Drosophila melanogaster: one gene and its partner. Changing the gene in region 2 together with the main gene of any one other region gives a genetic interaction. Each region holds a gene or a part of one and is shown on either strand. Other genes may lie near its edges. The genes, in order: ATP7 and MTF-1.

Region 1 (4,994 bases), on a different chromosome or scaffold from region 2:
TTCCATTGCAATCATAATTACGAGGCTCCCCATTTATGCATTTTCATTTTTGAATTTGCAATTGAGCTTCTCAAAACGGCGCACGTACATCTAGTACATACATAAATACGGGTATGCAAACCGATATTCGTAAATCAGCCAGAATTCAATGTGAATGTGGTGGATCAAAGCCAAGTTATTGCATAATTCGCCACTAGTTCACTAATTTCAAATCAACATTTTTGAGCTGGCAAAGCAAAAGTAAAGTAAAAACAGCTCTAAATCAAAGTGAAGGTGAATGAAACTAGAAATGCACTCGAAGAAAAAGTGCGTGCTTAACATAAAATAAAAGAAACTTGCTAAACATTGTACGATTCGTGCTTTTAAATATTAGTAGATTTTATATGCTGATCATATGCCGAAGTAGATAGCACTCTTCTATATAATACTTATATCATAGTTAGCCCCATTTCTCGCTGTGTACGAAGTGGAAGTGGAGTTCGTGGCCACGCATGCGGAGCAGAAAGACTGCAAAGCTGAAAAAGAGAGAGGTTTCCCTCTTTTTTTCCAGACAAAAGCGAGATTAGTTCCTCGCTCGTTTGCCCGCCAATCGCGGGTATATAAATTATTATACATTCATACATATATATGTACATACATTATATGTATGTACTTGTATTTCAAGGCGTATTGGAGCTCTTTCACTTTTGTTTTGATTTTTCTTTGGCCAGGCGGACTTTCAGTTTCATGGCTTAAATGCTAATTGGTAAATGCGATTGGCAGTATAAAGTTTATGAAAACAAAGAGCTCAAATCATTTCATTTGTTCTTTGTCAGCTAATCGCATACATAAATATGTATATATAAGTTCTTCCTGAACACTCGCAAAAAACACGCTATAATCTGGCAAATAAAACTCGAGCTGCCAGCGCCCAACAAAACAATAATTATATTATGTGTTTTTTAGCGAATATCTTGAATATTTTAAATATCCCGACTCTCGGCTTGCCATTGAATTCCCCTCATCCAAGTGTTCCAGATAGCTTTACTGCCCACGCACACGAGCGTGGTGAATTCCAGCTATTTAATCTAGTTGCCACTGGCATTGTTTGCTGAAAGCATAGTTAGTAGTGTATGGTTTATAAAGTACATACATACATACATGCATATGAGTATAGTGCTCCTCGCACTTTCTTATCAACGAACCTGCCACCCTCCCCAGAAAAAAAAGCATAAAGTAAATCGAGTATATCAGTTGCAATAAACAATTGCTGGGCCAGTTTTCAATTGTGGAAATTGTGAAAAGCGAACAATAAAAAAAAAAAAAACATTTGCACCGATTCTACTCGAACTCGATGCTAGTAGGTTAATAAAAAGGAACAGCTGTCGCTTTCTGCGAAATGCAAAACAAATAAGGGCATTCTACGAAATTCCCTTGAATGGCTTATTTAATATTTGTTATTGCCACAAGTTGCATCAATTAACGATTGCCAATAGTTTGCTTCTGTTACAGCTCATTACTCCCATTGCATTATTCGATCCCTTAAGATATACAAGATATATGATCGAATTTAACACCTGTGCTCGTTGGGCAAGAATAAAGCGCAACAGGTGCATATCGGTTGATGGCCCCATTCCAGGTGTTTATTATTATAAATATTGCATAACAATTGGCACTGCCACTTGTGGAATGCTTCCAGACTCGCAATTCGATTCGAATGCATGACCCAGAACGTGATTTGAAATTCTCTCGGGATAAACTAGTTCCAGAAAGCCACTTAGCTTAAGTACACAAAAAACACTCACCCCTCTTTGTTAGCAGTGTGACGGAGGCGGTGGTCACGCCCCTTATTTTAAGCACATGACTCTCGATCTTGTTGACGCAGGAGGCGCAAGTCATGCCCATAATCTCCAACTCCACCTCCGCCTCGCCGTTGTCCGGCTCATCGATGAGTTCGGTGGGGAAGCCCAGCTCCGTGATTGATTTCGCTATATTCTCGGCCGTCACAACATTGGCATTGAACTTGACCTCCGCCTTGGCGGCCAGCAGGGCTACCAGGATGCTGTCCAGGCCGTAGATCTTCTTGCAGTGCTTCTCGATGGCGGCCACACAGCTGGCGCACGTCATGCCTCGGATGTGCAGAAAGCATTTGGTCAGTAGCTCCTGTTCGACGGGTATGGCCACTGCCGAACCATTTTGAGCATATGAAGGAGGTGGAGGAGTAGGAGTTGCCCTCTTTTTGGGTGATGAGGCGGGGGCGGGCGACGGCGATTGGGATGGCGATCGAGGTTCCTGCACACTAGCCTCAAAACCCATGTCATCGATGAGCTCGGCTATCTGGGCGGGATCATACTGGGCGGGATCGTACTGAACGCGGGCATTCTTGGCCGCCAGTTGCACCTCAATGGAATGGATGCCCGGCTTGGTGCCGATATTGCCTTCGATGTTGCGCACGCACGACTGGCAGGTCATGCCCACCACCCGTATGTTGGTCCATGCGCTGGCGGGAGTTTCGGGAGGATCTGCTGCATCCCCTGGATAGCTGCACTCGAAGCCCATGTCGTCGATATCGCTGGCTATCCGGGCGGGATCCGTCTGTCGGGGATCGTAGTCGAAATAGCCCGCATTCTCCTCGAGAATGACGCGCACGCCAAGGATTCCCGATTTCTGGCCAATGTGCTCTGTGATATTGCGCACACACGACTGGCAAGTCATGCCCACAATGGGCAGGCGCACCGTGGACATCGTCGCTTCTACTCTCTCGTCACTTGGCATCCTCAATGTGCATTATTTTGGGTGGGCGGAACACGACGATGCGGAATTACTTGATATACTTGAGATTTTGAACTTTTGAGTTGCCCCTCGCCCTATCGCACGTACCGAATTGTGTCACTAAACTAACTTTGTGGAGTCGGGTGAGTCGTATTGCAGCTACTACTGGATTTGTTGTGGTGGAGTAGTCGCCTCCCGCCAACGCTTTTCACTTGGCCAAACTCCACACGAAACTCACAATTTTGCGTTCTTGTGTCTAATTTTTCAATTAGCAGGCAACAGCTGCTCCGCTCCCGTTATGTTTTTCCCACGGCACGCAACTACCGATGGCCGTCCGTCGATAGGCAGGCGCTATCGAGATGAGCTAGATACCGATGTGGGCTATATCGATACATTGCTTAAACTTTCGATTCGATAAAAAAATATGTGACTAACTAATGTTTTCTTTTTAGCTATTTAATTGTTTAGTTAAATTTCAAACTAAAAAAAGGAATCTTATTAGATTTGAAAATTGCCAAGGTATCGTACATATCCCCCACTTGTCGATAAAAAGTCGATACGAGTCACGGCCGAACGGTCATCTGCCATCTCTATCCGGTCTACTACCGATTTGATTTGATTTGTTTTGGAATATCTATCTCTATTTTTTCGAAATCTCCAATATAATCCAACTCAGCATTGGCGCAGTAAAGCAAGATGCCGGTGGTGGAACTGAAAGTGGATCGCAACCTGGTGTGCTCGGACTTTTCTGGCTACAAATTGGCATTCGATTCGGTGCCTGTTCTTCGCCAGGAACTTGGATGTGATGCCTACGTGCTGGATCCGAGCAGCAATCAGTTCTCGCTGCTGCACACGGAGCTCTTTGCCCGACACAATCACCTGGTAGCCGATCCATGGATGCGCCACTGCAGCTACTTCTTTAACAAGCGCCACCAGCTGGTGCAGTGCAACTACGATCTACAGACTGGACGCGCACGTGCCCAGCGCGTTGTCCTCACGGTGGACTATAGGGATCAGGGCGATGGGGAACTACATCGGTCGGGTGACTACAACTACACCATAGTTTTCGTTTCGGAACGATTCTGTGTGATCTGCGACGGTATAACCAGTTACCATCTGGTGGACACCGGCGACAGAACGCGCACCGATGTGCAGGAGTGGCAACGGATTACACGCTCGCCGGTGAATAATAACAGTGGTCATCGCGGCTTTGCACTCTTCGATGCCCGGCTGGATGTGCTGCAGGAACGTAAGCAGATCTCGCTGGTGGCCGGTCATGTGGCACGCCGTGATGCAGTTGGCCAAGATCAGACGCACGTCTATTACATGGACTTGACCTGGGCACGGTGGACTCATTCGCCCACCAATGACGAGTGGTCATATAATATCTGTCAACGGCTGGAGACCACTGGCTCTGTGCACTACTGCGCCTTTGAGCCTCGCGCCGAGTCCCTAGTCATTGCCAGCAACCGCGATGTTCAGACTCCCGAGGAGCGTCGGGCAGCCGATGAAGCAGCCGCTGCCCGCTTGAATTCCTCAGGTGATCACGATGGCCAGCTGGAAAATGGAGGTCCACCTAGTTATAGCTGGTCCCAAACGGATAATAATGTGCTCATTCGTTTCAATGTTCCTTCAACTGCATCCGCTAAAGAGTTTAACGTGAGCGGTTCTAAAACCACTGTCGTTGTAAAGCATCTGGATGAGGTTATATTCGACGAAGAGTTATACGCCAGTGTGGGAGATGATTTAAGTGCATTTAAGTTGGCTGAGAATGGCCTAGAATTGTCACTAACCAAGGCGGAGATTCAGAACTGGCCACGTTTGTTCGCGCAGAAGAAAGATGACGTAGCGGAGGAAGTACATCCAATGGAAGCTCCACCACTGCCCATTCCAAGTCTGCAGGATCCCGTTGAAGAATGTGACTTAATATCCGCTGATGAAGAAATGAAGATGGGTAAGCATTCTATTATACATCTGCTGCATATGCTTAATAAATACATTTTCTTCTTTTAGTACGCTTCAATTTGACCAGCGGGTGCATCACCCACACTATTTTTCTTGGTCCCCCGCCACTGGTGCTCACCACCACGCTGCGTCCTGGCTTTCCAGCCGCCTTTGCTACCCGCCAGGGCGTCGACGCCTCCATATGGCTACAGATGTACCAGCCCAGTCGTCCAGATGAATGGAGTGTCCGCCACGAGGGCCAGCTGCACGCCTTCGGCTACGTGCAGGCCTCCAAGGTT
Region 2 (5,199 bases):
AGCAGACGGCAACAGAAACTATAAAGAAAAGCCGAGGGAAGCAGAACAACAAGTGCGTGGGCGCTGAGACGGCTGGCATGCTGACTGACGGGCAGCGTGCGTCCCCCACGGACCCTTCCTCATCCCTTTTGCCACCGGCTCACCCATCGAGATGCCCCTCCCCCCGCCCCCTCTAATCATGGGAGTACTGAAAAATGAGAAATATGATTGAGGGAACACTACTCATGGCGGTAAAAATAGCAAGAGGGCGTCGTCGCCGAACGGGGAGCACGGCAGGAAGGAAGGAACACAACAAGCAAGGCACGGATGAAAAATTGAAAAATTATTGTACCGCAGAATAATGAGCTAGCGAAGAGCAACAACAATGTAGAACGTAGCGAACTAAGCCCATCACAACAGATCATTTGGACTTAGTCGCGGGAAAATTTAGTTTATGACCGATTCCGCATATCTTTTGAAGGGTTTCAATCAATCGGGTACTTTACGTATCAGCTGGTCTAAGTCTATCTATTACCCTGTACATTTTATCAGTCGATTTCCTGTATCATCCATATCTATTGAAATGTGAGTAAACATTGTGTAAACCCTTCAGCATTCGTGACTTATCACAAAGTTGTTAACTAAGTTTCGGGAGAACTGATTTGCTTTGTATTTATATTAAAAGCCCTATCAGCTGTACATGTTATTTAGCCTATTTCTAGAGAATAAAGACCTTTGAGACATTTACGATTTTTACCCTTTGGGAAAAATAGAATATATAGAGAAAACTTTTTATAGTGCCAAATCGCACTTTGTTGGGGGAGAATTTCACAATAGAAGCCACTACAATTTGGATTCTTTTGAAAACCGGCTTCTTTACATCAAGTGTTAATGAGTTTCGGGGAAATTTTCGGTCGTCTTCGCCTAACACATTGTAGAAATATACATCTATGTATGCATATGTATATCCATCTATACATTCTGCTTGGCATTTGGGGTGGGGGTAGAAATCTAAATGCGTTCATCGCCGCAACTATTTTTGGCCCAAACAAATGATTTTCGATACAATCATCAGCCGAAGTGGAGGCCCAAAGGCATGCAGCCATTATGATGCCCATTGGCACATAGTCTCGGTAATATTGGATGTTTGCGACGAGGGTATGCGCTGGTCGAGTCGATTGAAGCGCGCAGAAATGCAACAGGCTGAGAACACAAATCAGGCAATTAGCAAGCAACTTGCAAGCGATTCGGACACCGCGTTGTAATAAGTGGACATTGGAACGCTTGAAATTTGCCAACACAAATTCTCGACAAGGAAGAAAATATGAAAATTCGATTTTGCCTCTTTTTTTTCGTGGGCAGCCAAACAAAAAGTGAAATAAAATTTAAAAAAAAAATCGGACACGTCACGACAGACGCTAGGCAAATGTTTTCCTTTTTTCCGCGCTCTCTCTCTCTCTCTCTCGAGAATCTTTTTGTGTGTGGGCAGTGGAAAATTAGCAGCGAAGAGGGGCGGTGGTGTCCCTGGCGGGGGTCAGAATGCGGAGGGCAAGGCACACCTGACGGCCCACTATAATTGGCCAAAAAACGACAAAAGCACCAAGCACAAATCCACTCATACATGACACTAAAAATATGCAATTATTATTCCCGTTCTGGCTTTTGCACCAAATCGAAATTAAGTGATTTTTTTCGTAAGGCAATCGAACGATTTCAAGGACTGGCATAAAATTAAATATTAAATAATATCGGCAAAAAAGTGTATATATTTTTAATATTTCATAATTCTGTGCTCTAATCATAACATAAATTTAATGAATTAATTATGTGCTCAAAGCTTGAACCAAATTCAATATCTCAAATAAAATGCTTTGCCAAGACTTATGATTTATTTTGATTTTTTGAATTCAATAATTTTCCTTGAATTTTGTTTAAAATATATGGCAAAATTCTTGCTTCGATATATATACAATATGCATACACACATATGTACGAAGTTTCGAGAACCGATTTTTTAAGGCAATATATAGTTCTGAATCTATATAAAATTATAGTTACATTTTTCTACACGAATAATATTGCAATTCCAGAACGGGTTGTTGTTATCATATCTATAAAACACCACGCCTAAGCAAAAAAACATTCCAAATACAAGCAAATCATAAAATACACATGCAGCGGTGGGTGTACGTGCAAGTGGGGAATACCTCGTCTCAATTGTGAAATAAGCTGGAGAATTGGATGTGGAGTCCCTAGAGATGCTGTTTCCAGTTCCCTGGTCGTTATCACAGTTGATTGGAGGATTTGCAGCCTCGTTGGGGCTGGACACCATGCTGAGCGAGACCACAGTGGGCGGCTGGACTTGGACGAGCCTCTGGTTCTCGAACTGGTATTCCAGCGTGAAGCAGATGTCATCCAGATTGAACACCTGGGCGGTGATATCGCTCAGACTGGCTATCAGCGGAACTTCAGAGTGGCTGGAGCTGAGATTCTCGGTGGTATGGTGATATGTGATGGGTATGACCGTGATGGGCAATGGTGTTAGTTGATCCGCAAGCGAAAAAGCGTTGTCCGCTGCCGCAGATACAACAACTTGTGAATGGCCATGAGTTTGAGATGCAGTGAGTTGATCCTGGGCACCGAATAGGTCGCCATATGTCGCCTGGGCGTCCCCCGTATCAAGGGTGAGGCCCAGATTAAGCACCTGTTGCTCGCCACTTGTGGATTCCGCCGTCTGGCTGCCGTAGATGCTGTAGTTGTCCCCATGGATGATGCCCAGCCCGTCGGCCTCCAATTTCGGTTCGAGCAACTGAGCTAGTGGCCTGTCGAAGTCCAGGGAACCAGAGGAGGAGCAATTGGATGTGACGGGCGGGGAGCCGGAAAGCGAATTGCGCGACGAGTTGGTATCATAATCCCGGCTGTCTGATAACGAATTTCCATGACTATTAGCGGTAGTCTTCCACTCGCTGTGGAAGTAGTGTTGTTGTTGTTGCTGGTGTTGTTTCTCTTGGTCGTTCATGTCGTATTATTTGTTATTTGCACACCCACGCACACTAAGACAAACGCTTGCTATATCGCATATGATATGCAGTTGTTATTCTCTTTCTCTGCTGCCACCGTGCAATATGTACATATATATAGATTGCTAAAGAAATTAGAGATCGCGAGATCGAAAAGCACACATCCGCGATCGAAAAGCACAAGCAACAACGATAAGAACCAGTGTGACCATGGGCGGAACGACAAAATATAACGCGGTTCTGGCTGAAATATACCATAAACTGGGATATACCGAAAATAGTGGAACGCAAAAGGGGACACCGCTTAGTGGGGACTCAAACCGCGTGTAGAGTTTTAGGCGGAGTCTCCAAGCGTGGTGTGAAATTGAAACTAAGGTGTTCTAATTTAAAGAATGAATAAATTTGCGAAACCAATATACTGCCGAATAGACTTATTTTTAAAGATTTTATATATTTTCTTATAAAAAAGAGTTTGTTTCATAACAAGTATTCTAGCCCATATTTAGGTACCATTGCACTGTACAATAGTCTCATTTAAAATGTTTAGTACAATAATGCGGTTTTTGTTAAATAATGTGTTCTAAGGTTCAAGTCCTCTCTTATTTCTATTTAATTCATCTACCTTCGAGATTTGCATAATTATGGTATATTTGCGGTATATTTTAGTATGTTTTTCACACAACCACCCTGGTCACACGGCATCCTTCTTTTTCTTTCGTTTCCGGCGAGGTATGTGCACAAATTTTGTTTCTCCACGTTTTTCTTAAAAATAATTGCTTATTTCTCATTTTAGCGGTGATTAAAATATCCATCGAGCAACATAATGGTACGTACCAACGAAAAACTGGCTGAACTCGAATCAAAAAGCGGTCAAACAAGCATAAAACGGCAACGACAGCCGCTTATCCCACGTGCATAGTGCCAATTTTGTTACCCCAAAAGCAATTATTTGTATCCGGCGTCTTGAAACCGTCCTTAATATCAATACCAAATAGCAATTCAAACGGAAACTTTAAAAGAAACCTAAACTAAAACCGAGTGAAGGCCTCTTACATTAAAAGTCCCCGAAAAATGCCGCAACTATCTCAGAAAATCAGCTGCAAATAACTATTTAGTTGTGACAGAAAACTATCGCAAAGATACAACAAAATGGATTGAACTATCGTGATACTAAACATTTTATCAACTACCACAGGGTCGCGTACGAACCAAGACGGTGAAGAAGGCCGCTAAGGTCATCATCGAGAAGTACTACACTCGCCTGACGTTGGACTTCCACACCAACAAGCGCATCTGCGAGGAGGTGGCCATCATTCCCACCAAGCCCCTGCGCAACAAGATTGCCGGGTAAGTGCCGCTCAAATCTCGTTAGTGAGTGGATCTATAATCCCCAAATTCCTTTCCAGCTATGTCACCCATTTGATGGGCCGCCTGCGTCACTCCCAGGTGCGTGGTATCTCCATCAAGTTGCAGGAGGAGGAGCGTGAGCGTCGTGACAACTACGTCCCGGCCGTCTCCGCTCTGGAGCAGGACATCATCGAGGTCGACGCCGACACCAAGGAGATGTTGAAGCTTCTGGACTTCCACAACATCCGTGGCCTGCAGCTCACCCAGCCCAACACCAACAACTTTGGTCGTCGCAACTAAGATTTGTATAGCGCGTAGATGATGATGTTCTGATTTGCATGGGATCACAATAAATTTGTGTGAAGTGCATTTAAAGTGTATGTTTTTGTGTTTCAATTAATTATGCGTATTCGATTGAAAAATATCCAAAGTGAACATCGTTTCCAAAGTGGCTCACCAGGCAGGAAACTCGATCTAAATTCAAGAACCCCAAGTCTGTGTTCCGTTTATCATCTTTATTCGCATTCGAATGGAAAATACTGTAGACATGCACATATTTGTAAATATGTTTATATTCAATCCATAAATATATGGGTTCGTTTTTACACAGACGATATATAAAAGATATTCTACGAGTGCACAATATTTAAATCTAATCGTGTACGCTGATGCCAGTATATATAATTATTTGTTATGTATATGATGGGTGGTAGCTATACGTATGATTGTTCCCTCCGGTTCAGGAAGATGCTGATGTAATGGGCGACGCAGCCTGATCCTGCTGGGGTCTTCGCACCGGATTACGCAAGACCAGCTCGGAATCCTCCGAAATGATGGGCAGCGCGTGTGCCCA

The links.
Region 1: of MTF-1 (region 2) and ATP7, changing one suppresses a phenotype caused by changing the other (phenotypic suppression), as found in Drosophila melanogaster (one study listed by BioGRID).

Annotation. Positions count from the first base shown.
Region 1 is NC_004354.4:11,853,112-11,858,105, reverse strand, and holds the start of ATP7 (ATP7), read right to left. Parts: upstream 3,085-4,994; 5' UTR 2,755-3,084; coding exon 1,785-2,754; intron 1-1,784. Other genes in the region: CG10347 (uncharacterized protein), read left to right, coding at 3,448-4,705, 4,765-4,994.
Region 2 is NT_037436.4:9,428,321-9,433,519, reverse strand, and holds the start of MTF-1 (metal response element-binding transcription Factor-1), read right to left. Parts: upstream 3,209-5,199; 5' UTR 2,999-3,208; coding exon 2,187-2,998; intron 1-2,186. Other genes in the region: RpS17 (ribosomal protein S17), read left to right, coding at 3,823-3,825, 4,195-4,346, 4,406-4,646; Shc (SHC-adaptor protein), read right to left, coding at 5,086-5,199.